2 linked regions of the Caenorhabditis elegans genome follow. The gene in region 1 interacts genetically with each later gene. Each region holds a gene or a part of one and is shown in the gene's direction. Other genes may lie near its edges.

Region 1 (4,227 bases):
GCTGGCATTGTGGTTCACATTGTGCAGATTGGGAGACTGAAGCTTCCAGAATGATTGTGACAGCTTGTGGAGCAGCAGTAGTGGCAACTGGAGCTTGGCATGCAGATTGGCATTGCTGGCATTGTGGAGCAGATGGTTGCTGGCACTGTGGAGTACATTGTTGTTGGCACTGTTGAGTTTGTTGGCACGAAGTCTGACATTGTTGGCAAGCTGGTGCAGATTGCTGTTGACATTGTGGAGCACACTGTTGCTGACAAACTGGAGCAGCTTGTTGGCAGGTATTCTGGCACTGCTGGCACTGTGGAGCTGATGGTTGTTGGCATTGTGGAGCACACTGTTGTTGGCATTGTGGAACTGCTTGCTGGCAGGTGGTCTGGCATTGCTGGGTGCATTGCTGATTGCACTGTTGGGCTGGAACTTGTTGTTGAACACATTGTTGTTGGCATGATTGCTGGCATTGAGGAACACACTGAGCAGAGATTTCCATGTTAATCTTGATTATTTGTGGAGCGGCAGTAGTGGTTGGAGCACATTGTTGAACACATTGTTGCTGACATTGTGGCTGACATTGTTGAATTGGTTGAGTTTGAACACATTGCTGTTGGCACTGTTGTTGGCATTGTGGCACGCATTGAACTGCAGCTGGAGTCTGGACAACACAGGATTGTTCACAGGCTGGCATGCAGGATGGTTGACATTGAACTGGAGCTGGAGTAGTTGGAGTATAACAGGAAGAAGTCTGACAGCTTTGTTGGCATGTAGATTGACATTGACTAACAGATGGAGCAGATTGACATTGGTTCTGGCAAGACTGCTGACAAGCTGGGGCACATTGAGAAGCTTGAATTTGGTAGGTTTGTTGCTGAACTGGTTGGGCACATGAACAGGATTTCTGGACTGGAGCAGTGTTCTGACAGGAACAACTGTACTGTTGTGGTTGAGTATAGGTGGTTCGTTGGCAAGAGCAACTTGGTTGAACTCTTGGAGCACAGCCACAGGATTGGCGTTTATCGCGAATTGTTGTTGCCTGGAAATGATTTTTGTGAAATTTGACTGAAATCGTGGTCAATCGTGGTCGACTGAAATCGTGGAATATATAATCTTATGTCTGCAAGCAATGCTCAAGAAAAACAAATATTTGTTAAATTTGGGTACTTAGCCGATTTTTTTGGATCGCCGCTCAGCCCTGTTCAACAACTATTTAAAATGAACATTTGGCTCAACAATACTATTAGATGGCCATTATACCTCAATAAGGAAACAGCTTGAAACAAGAAGAGCTGCAATTGCGAAGAAGCGCATGATACGGTTCGAAAGGATTGGAACAGATGATTTTCTCTAGTTTCCAGGCCTTTTATACTCACACTGTATGGTTAACCAAAGAACATAAACCCTGAATTCCCGCCTATTTATCTTAATGTAAAAAATGATGCGGAGGAGATCAACACTTTGATGGAAGCTTAGTGAGCAAAATGATAAGTGCGCGAACAGGGAAAAAGTAGTTTTATTTATGTCGTAATGAGTGGTCTTGAAAGTCGATAAACTTAAAGTGTACTTGTGAAATCAAATGTTCATCTCAAAATGTAAAAGACAAATATTTACCAGCAGTACCTAAAAAGGTAAACGATAACTTTGGTACATATAGTTAAGCAGAAACTCGTTTCGGTCAAACACACACCGTATCAGCACATTCCATTCGACGGAACGCGCACCCAACCTTTTTTCAATCTTTGCAACTCTCCGTGCTCCCAAAAAATAGTGTGTAAAACCATGAGACGGCACACGTGTTCTTCGGATCATTTGCTATGCCTCCATTGCTATGTTTGCGCTCGTCATGGAGCCGGTTGATGGATAGAGTCTGATAAGTGGGAAGCAACTTTCCGGTATGTGTTCGATGGTTAGTGAAAAAGTGTAGGAGAAGGTTGGTATAAAAGTCTGAAAGGTTGACAAAAGGACATCAGTTGCCGTCTAGCAGCTCTTCAAGCATATTAACAATGCGCTTTATCGCAATTGCAGCTCTTATTGCTTCTAGCGTTCTACTTGCCGAAGTACGTTTCTTATCACTTACGAATCACTGTTGTAAAATACATTAATAATTATATTTATCTTACAATACCATATAATTTTCAGGCAACAACAATTCGCGATAAACGCCAATCCTGTGGCTGTGCTCCAAGAGTTCAACCAAGTTGCTCTTGCCAACGAACCACCTATACTCAACCACAACAGTACAGTTGTTCCTGTCAGAACACTGCTCCAGTCCAGAAATCCTGTTCATGTGCCCAACCAGTTCAGCAACAAACCTACCAAATTCAAGCTTCTCAATGTGCCCCAGCTTGTCAGCAGTCTTGCCAGAACCAATGTCAATCTGCTCCATCTGTTAGTCAATGTCAATCTACATGCCAACAAAGCTGTCAGACTTCTTCCTGTTATACTCCAACTACTCCAGCTCCAGTTCAATGTCAACCATCCTGCATGCCAGCCTGTGAACAATCCTGTGTTGTCCAGACTCCAGCTCCAGTTCAATGCGTGCCACAATGCCAACAACAGTGCCAACAGCAATGTGTTCAAACTCAACCAATTCAACAATGTCAGCCACAATGTCAGCAACAATGTGTTCAACAATGTGCTCCAACCACTACTGCCGCTCCACAAATAATCAAGATTAACATGGAAATCTCTGCTCAGTGTGTTCCTCAATGCCAGCAATCATGCCAACAACAATGTGTTCAACAACAAGTTCCAGCCCAACAGTGCAATCAGCAATGCACCCAGCAATGCCAGACCACCTGCCAGCAAGCAGTTCCACAATGCCAACAACAGTGTGCTCCACAATGCCAACAACCATCAGCTCCACAGTGCCAGCAGTGCCAGAATACCTGCCAACAAGCTGCTCCAGTTTGTCAGCAACAGTGTGCTCCACAATGTCAACAGCAATCTGCACCAGCTTGCCAACAATGTCAGACTTCGTGCCAACAAACTCAACAGTGCCAACAACAATGTACTCCACAGTGCCAGCAACCATCTGCTCCACAATGCCAGCAATGCCAATCTGCATGCCAAGCTCCAGTTGCCACTACTGCTGCTCCACAAGTTGTCACAATCATTCTGGAAGCTTCAGTCTCCCAATCTGCACAATGTGAACCACAATGCCAGCAATCATGCCAACAGCAATGCGTTCAGCAGCAACAACCAATGCAACAATGTGCTCCAGCTTGCACCCAATCTTGCTCTCAATCCTGTTCTGCTGCTCAACCAGCCCAGATGCCATGCCAGACACAATCAGTCAACTCCTGCTCGTGCCAGCAAAACTATTCTCCATGTGGAAATGGACAGTGTTGCAAGAGAAAGTAGACATCGAATGCGTAACTTTGACATCAGTTCTCTGTATATATGACACAATTTTTTTTCTTTTTTTTCACAATAACATTGCTTGAAATAATTTACTTCGAATACGGCATCCAAATAACTTTTTTTTAAATAATCATATCACCGAGCTTCAAATCTTTGAATCCAACAAGATTCAATTTAATGATTTTACACGACATATCCTCATTTCAAACAGTTATGTAAATCAAATAACGTCATGAAAACACTCCAAGTTACAAAAAAAATGCGATAAGAATTGGAAAAATGATGAGAGACAATCCATTCAGTCCAGAAGAACGCCTTACAAAATGGACACAATTTGCAATTGATCATGGAGTTTTGGAAGAGTTACACGTGGAAGGATCAAGATTAAATACAATTATTTATTATAATCTTGATGTTATTGCTTTTGTTCTTATAATTTTTGTAGTAATTCTTTACGTTTTCATTTGCGTGCTCAGATTTTTGTGTTGTAGAAAGGGAACACAATTTGCTTCTGAGGAGAAAATGTACTGACCACACGTTTATTGTCATGCTTCAGCGTCCTATCGAGAACATGTTAAACTACAGAAATAAAGTATTTTCGTATCTATTGTAACATTTGTTGCCTGATACCTTTGGAATGATACCGTATATCTTCTATTAGTAAAGCATGCAATATTGTTCGAGTTAGTTTTTCTCCCATTAAATAATTACTTAATTTCATCAATTCCAATACCAAAAAGAGAGCCGAATATCAAAAAGATAGAAACCGGTGTAACTGTGAGATGTAATTTTTAGAACATCGAATATAGTTCCCATTTTTTCCGATTCCTTGTTCAAAATATTTCAGATTTCGAAAAAAAAACCCGTGTCCAC
Region 2 (5,709 bases), on another chromosome or scaffold:
ATTCCATTTGAAAGAGAGAAAAAACTGTTCTCGATACACGAAGAAACATGCGATATATGTTAATCATAAAACCTTCTAACTTTTTATGTCAGTTTCTATTCTCTTCTCGATTCTCTTTACTTACGAATTCTCTTTCTTCTTCTACCCTTCATCTGTTTTGCTCGTTGTGCAATTGTCAGGAGACATTTAATCCGAGTTAATCAAGAATTTTCGAAATTTATCTGAATCCGATTTTGTTTCTCTTCAAAGTCAGAAGAAATCATAAAAATAATATAAAAGAGGAAGAGGATTATACAAATTTAGAAACATTATTCATTCTTTTTAATCATGATATCTCAAAGGATGTTGTTTACTTCAACTTTTGAAAGGATTTTATAGATAAATTGTTATGATTATTTACTTGTTTTGTTTCTTCCTCCAGTATTTAATCTGTGGTCACTTCGTGGTCTTCAAGGCTTTAGGTTCAGCTCATTTTGGTTGTTTAATAGTAAGTCATATGATACGAAGATTCACAGAATGATTTGATAATAATAATAATACGAAATCTCTTTTTCTATAATATTCTCAGAATGTCATACTTCTATAGAATTTATAAATACATTATTACTGTTTTGAAAACCTTTTTTTCCTAATCTATTCGCCGTCAATTTGGCGTTCTTCTAACATTCAGTATTCGAAATCAATGTTCAAAATTTGCTTAGAGAACACCCCAAAATTAGGTTCCGTCCATATCTTGGCTTTTTTCGCCGCCAGATTCAGAAAAAAACTGATTTTCTGTGAGTTCTATTCTATTTTTTTAATTTCTTAAACAATTGGAAATGGTACAGTGTGTTATAAAATAGTTTATTTATTCTGGTTCCTCATGAGAGCACCTCAATAAAAAGTAGTGACGTACATCCATCTGAAACAAAAATAACAATATGACGCCTTCTTAGTAGTACTTATGTTAGTTTCTATTAATGGACTTTTTTTTAAAATAAAAACTCAAAATAGTCAAAGAAATTCTAAAAATGGACATTTGCTAAAATTTAAGAGAAACGATTTCAAAAGATGAAATTATACTTTCCTCCCAACTTTTTTGCTTTTGATAAATTGCTGGCCGAGTTATAACTATTTCTAGGTCACGTATCAGAAGCCGGGTGAGTCTTGAGATCTTCGTGATGCCTTGTCATATCTAAATGAACGAAACTTGAATAAATTAATTAGGAGTCATCGGCTTCATTGAGTTCAGAAAAATTCTGTATAAAACAAAATCAAGATTCAGGTAAATATCTAGATTTTCGATCATTTTGGAACCGCGTTCCTGATATCGAAAAAACTTCGAATCCATTTAAAAGTTGAATAAATCAAATGAAAACTTCCTCTCATTTTTCTTCATTTCTCTCTCTATTTTTCCTTGATTTTATAGGTGATGACGATTCTGATCAACACAAAAATCTTATCACAAACTGTTGTTTCTTATCATTTTTTACACGTTCATACCAGTTTTCATTCCGAGTTCTTGAATTTCATAATTCTTTCATTTCGCCTTTCTATGTAGATATTGAAACTCCGCCCATTTGAGTAGCTCACCTGACTCTTATGACTTACCAGAAGGTTCTATTATCATTTTGGATATAATTCTGTTTTCTGATTCAAATTTTTTTTGAATTTCGGCAATGCACAACGAAAAATATTAATTTCATATATAAAATCATCTGTACTATTTATTATTCTTTATCCCAAATCAGTCCTTTTTTGTGGTCGTTGCTTTTTAAGCTCGGCCCATTTTTTTGGATTTTATTCTAGCCTAACATCTCCTCCCATATTTTTTTTAATTCTTCGAAATTTCAGTTTTAAAACTACGAAAATGGACGATTTTCCTTCACCAGAACCTACTGATCCCAGACTTGAGGCAATGGCTCAAAAAGTGTTAGAAGAAACTATTATCACTGAAGGAGATGTATGTTTTTGAAGATTTGAAACTTTTTTTTTGAATTTTCAACACAAATAGTCTCGCTGGCTACTTTTAAAAATTAAAAAGCCATCTGCAAATTTTAAATTTCATATTCTAGGCCAGCCGGCGAGCAAGTAAGTGAACAAGAAACTTTAAAAAAGAGCAGAGTTGAGAGATACCGTATCTTGATCAAACATCAAATGTCCAGACATATTAGCGAATTTTTATTTTAAAATATTTAGAATCAACCTACATAAACATTAACTTATACGTTTTCTAATTTTAGAATGTGTCTCTCAAATTAGCCTTTTCTTTTAAAACAGGAAACAATTTTTTTTCAAAAATAGTAATACTTAAAGAAACTGAAAGGATATTTACGACAAAAGGTTTTAATGTATGTTGGAGACTCGAAAAGATCCAAAAAAAAAATAAAGAGAAAATTACAGGAAAAGAGAAAAGCCCATATCTTGTTTTTTAAATTTTGTTATAGTAAACTTTTCCTAAGAAATTCAAATCCTTAAAATTGCCCTATTTGAAGTGTCAAGCTATCCTCAACTATTTTTTAGGGAACAATCTACTGGGCTCTCAAAGTTACCCGATTACTCTCTAGAGTAGCTAAAAAACACCAGTGCTTTGAAGCTTTCTACGATGCCGTTATTAAAGGTGATCCAAAAACACGATGCTGTCCTGCACACAATGAGAAACTCATTGGAAACTTTGGACGAGCTATCATGTGTGTCTTGAGAGCATTCAGATTTCCGGTTATTCGATATGAATCTCAAGTGAAATCAATATTAACGTGTCGACATGCATTCAATTCCCATAGTCGGAATGTTTGTCTGAATCCGTATCATTATCGATGGGTTGAACTACCGACGTGCCAAGTTCCACCAATTATTGTAAATAAGGAATTGGATTACGGTGAACCTCCGATTCGGACTGAGGATGCACTGGATGATTGGAATCAAAAGGATTTGAAAGAGGAACAGGTGGTTGCAAGTTGGGATGTGCCAAATGTGACGATGAGAGGAGATGAAATTAAGGTTTGTTGAGAGATGATATCCCTTTTTGAACTCTTTCCAAAATGCAAAATCCAGTAAATAAGTTGCAATTAATCTTTTTTTTTCTTTAGAAATTTTGGAAATTTGCAAACTTACCAAAAACGTTGACTGAAATATTTGCACGTATTTCTACAAAACATCCACTGTCACCCCCTCACATTCAAAAATAAAAATTTCAGCTTCTCTATGATCGATATGCAGCTGAAAACGGAGATTTTCAATATATGAATTACGGAAATTTTGGCTCTTTTGATGGAAGTCCGTGTAGCTCTACCACGATGTCATTAGGATCATCTTTCGCATCGTTACTGCAACAAAGTAATCGACAAGACGACGAGGAACCCGGATATTATAGATCTGGACTCTCATCTCCAGCTAGGTACGAATTTCACTTTTTTGGAATTTTTTTGTTTTTACAATACTGATTCAACAATCTAAAGAACTGGCTAAACTGAAAGTAGAATTCGAAATTCGACCTAAAGGTTGAAAAAAAAATTAAATTTGGCGGTCGGGCCGACGAAACTGTTGAATATTGGAAAAAATTGAAATATTAGTTTAGATCTATAAAACTTTAAATTTACAGTCATGCAGCTTCTCCTCGAGAGTTTATTCCAAACGGAAATGATACAATAAGTCTGGATCAAGAAATGATGGATGATTCCGAAGTTAGTGACATCATGCATTCCGAGAATTTTTCATCAGAGAACAATGGAAACCGAAAGCCAACGTATGCAGATGGACGGCCTATCACACCAATTGAACCTCGACCACTCTATCGATCTTCGGCATTAGAACTTGGAGATCTGTCACGACAGGCTGGAATATATGAATGTGTAGAATATGAAGAGTCGCCGAGTTGGCTGAAATTAATTTATTATGAAGAAGGAACGATGATTGGAGAGAAAGCCGATGTAGAAGGGCATCACTGCCTGATCGATGGATTTACAGCTAGTCGCACTGACTCAGAAACCAGAAGGTTTGTATCATTGACAGAAGCCCTGGTCTAGAACTTACACGCATCTGAATTTTAACTACATTCACTAGTGTACACTGAACTAAAACATAAATTCAAGTAAATATCAAAATAACATCATTACAGCCGTTTCTCGCTTGGTTGGTACAACAATCCAAACCGCTCTCCACAAACGGCCGAAGTTCGTGGTCTCATTGGAAAGGGTGTTCGATTTTACTTGTTAGCTGGTGAAGTCTATGTAGAGAATTTGTGCAATATTCCTGTTTTTGTACAGTCAATCGGTGCAAATATGAAGAATGGTTTCCAATTGAATACTGTATCAAAGTTGCCTCCAACTGGAACTATGAAAGTTTTTGACATGAGATTATTCTCCAAACAGCTGAGAACAGCAGCTGAGAAGACATATCAAGGTGAGAGTGAATTAGTAATTTCTATTATATCATATTACTTTTCGTCCAAAGTACGGCTATTGTGCGATATATCAAAATTGTCAACTAAAAATAATTTATAAAAAGTTTTTGACATTTTTTGGTGTATAGTTTTTACCGATGCAACTTTCGGAGAATACGAATTCTCAAACCTTCTAGTCAGCTACATTTTTTTTCTTCCAACATTTCAGACGTCTACTGTCTCTCACGAATGTGCACAGTTCGTGTTTCGTTCTGCAAAGGTTGGGGAGAACACTATCGTCGTTCAACCGTCCTCCGATCGCCTGTTTGGTTTCAGGCTCATTTGAATAATCCGATGCATTGGGTCGATAGTGTACTCACTTGTATGGGAGCTCCACCACGTATATGTTCATCCAGAACTTAGCTTCTTTCTTTGCCAAAATCCTAATCTCCAATTTGCGTGTGATCAATTTTGTTGATAGAGAAAGGTTTTTATTTTACTCTAAAACATCAAAACGAGTTTTAAAATTTTTTATTTAAAAATTTAGATTTTAAACTTTTTCTGTGTATTTTTACATTGTTTTTGAGGGCTTTAGAACTGCTCGAGATTTCTTTTTGCAGCTTTTAAACGACTTATGTCAACTTTAAAAGTGTTTACAGTAGCCAAATATTCTAGAATCCTTGGAAATGTAATTTTGGTCTGATTTTTTCCGATCGAGCTTGATGGATTAAATTTAATATTATCAAAAAAAAAAACACTTTCAAAAAGCTGCCAGGATATTCACTTAAATATAAACCCCCTAAAATCCTTGGAAATCATCAAAATAGTTATCCGAGCAGTTTTACGTCCGTCGAAAGTAGTGCACAGTTACGCTTAAAATGTTTCAGATCGAAATTTTATTTATCCAGAAAGTGGCTTAGAGTTTTACAGTGATCTGTTTTCAATAAGTAATTTAGTATTTAAAAAAAGTTTCGTTTTGATATTGGAGCGTGAAATCAAAACCTTTTCTTGCGAGAGTGGAGCACTTTACTTGTGAAAGGATCGGTTGAAAGGAGGAGGTTCTAAGAATTGTAGATCTAAATCAAACGTAGGCGGCAATTGCCAAATTTGCCACGTTATTTGGAAGAATTTTCTGAAATTGAGTACTTCAAACTGATTTTAGACAAAAAAATCCCTAAATTTGTTCGGTATTTATGTGGGAATTTATCTTAAAATTGTCAATTTTGCCCATGAAATGATTAGATAATTGTTTGCCACCCACGCCTGATCTGAATCCTCCACAAGTAAAACTCCAATAACCTCAGGTTTCATTAATTGTCCTTTTCCCCATTTCTCTCTTTCATCTCTTC

What was found.
Region 2: of abu-1 (region 1) and daf-8, changing one enhances a phenotype caused by changing the other (phenotypic enhancement), as found in Caenorhabditis elegans (one study listed by BioGRID).

What each region holds. Positions count from the first base shown.
Region 1 is NC_003283.11:10,379,553-10,383,779, reverse strand, and holds abu-1 (Activated in Blocked Unfolded protein response), read left to right. Parts: upstream 1-1,953; 5' UTR 1,954-1,994; coding exon 1,995-2,048; intron 2,049-2,130; coding exon 2,131-3,354; 3' UTR 3,355-3,440; downstream 3,441-4,227. Other genes in the region: pqn-2 (Prion-like-(Q/N-rich)-domain-bearing protein), read right to left, coding at 1-1,027, 1,249-1,302.
Region 2 is NC_003279.8:8,583,630-8,589,338, reverse strand, and holds daf-8 (Smad protein daf-8), read left to right. Parts: upstream 1-1,831; 5' UTR 1,832-1,849; coding exon 1,850-1,942; intron 1,943-2,502; coding exon 2,503-2,979; intron 2,980-3,176; coding exon 3,177-3,376; intron 3,377-3,580; coding exon 3,581-3,973; intron 3,974-4,096; coding exon 4,097-4,380; intron 4,381-4,589; coding exon 4,590-4,783; 3' UTR 4,784-4,915; downstream 4,916-5,709. UniProt on the Caenorhabditis elegans protein: Probably a receptor-regulated SMAD (R-SMAD) that is an intracellular signal transducer and transcriptional modulator activated by TGF-beta-like daf-7 signaling.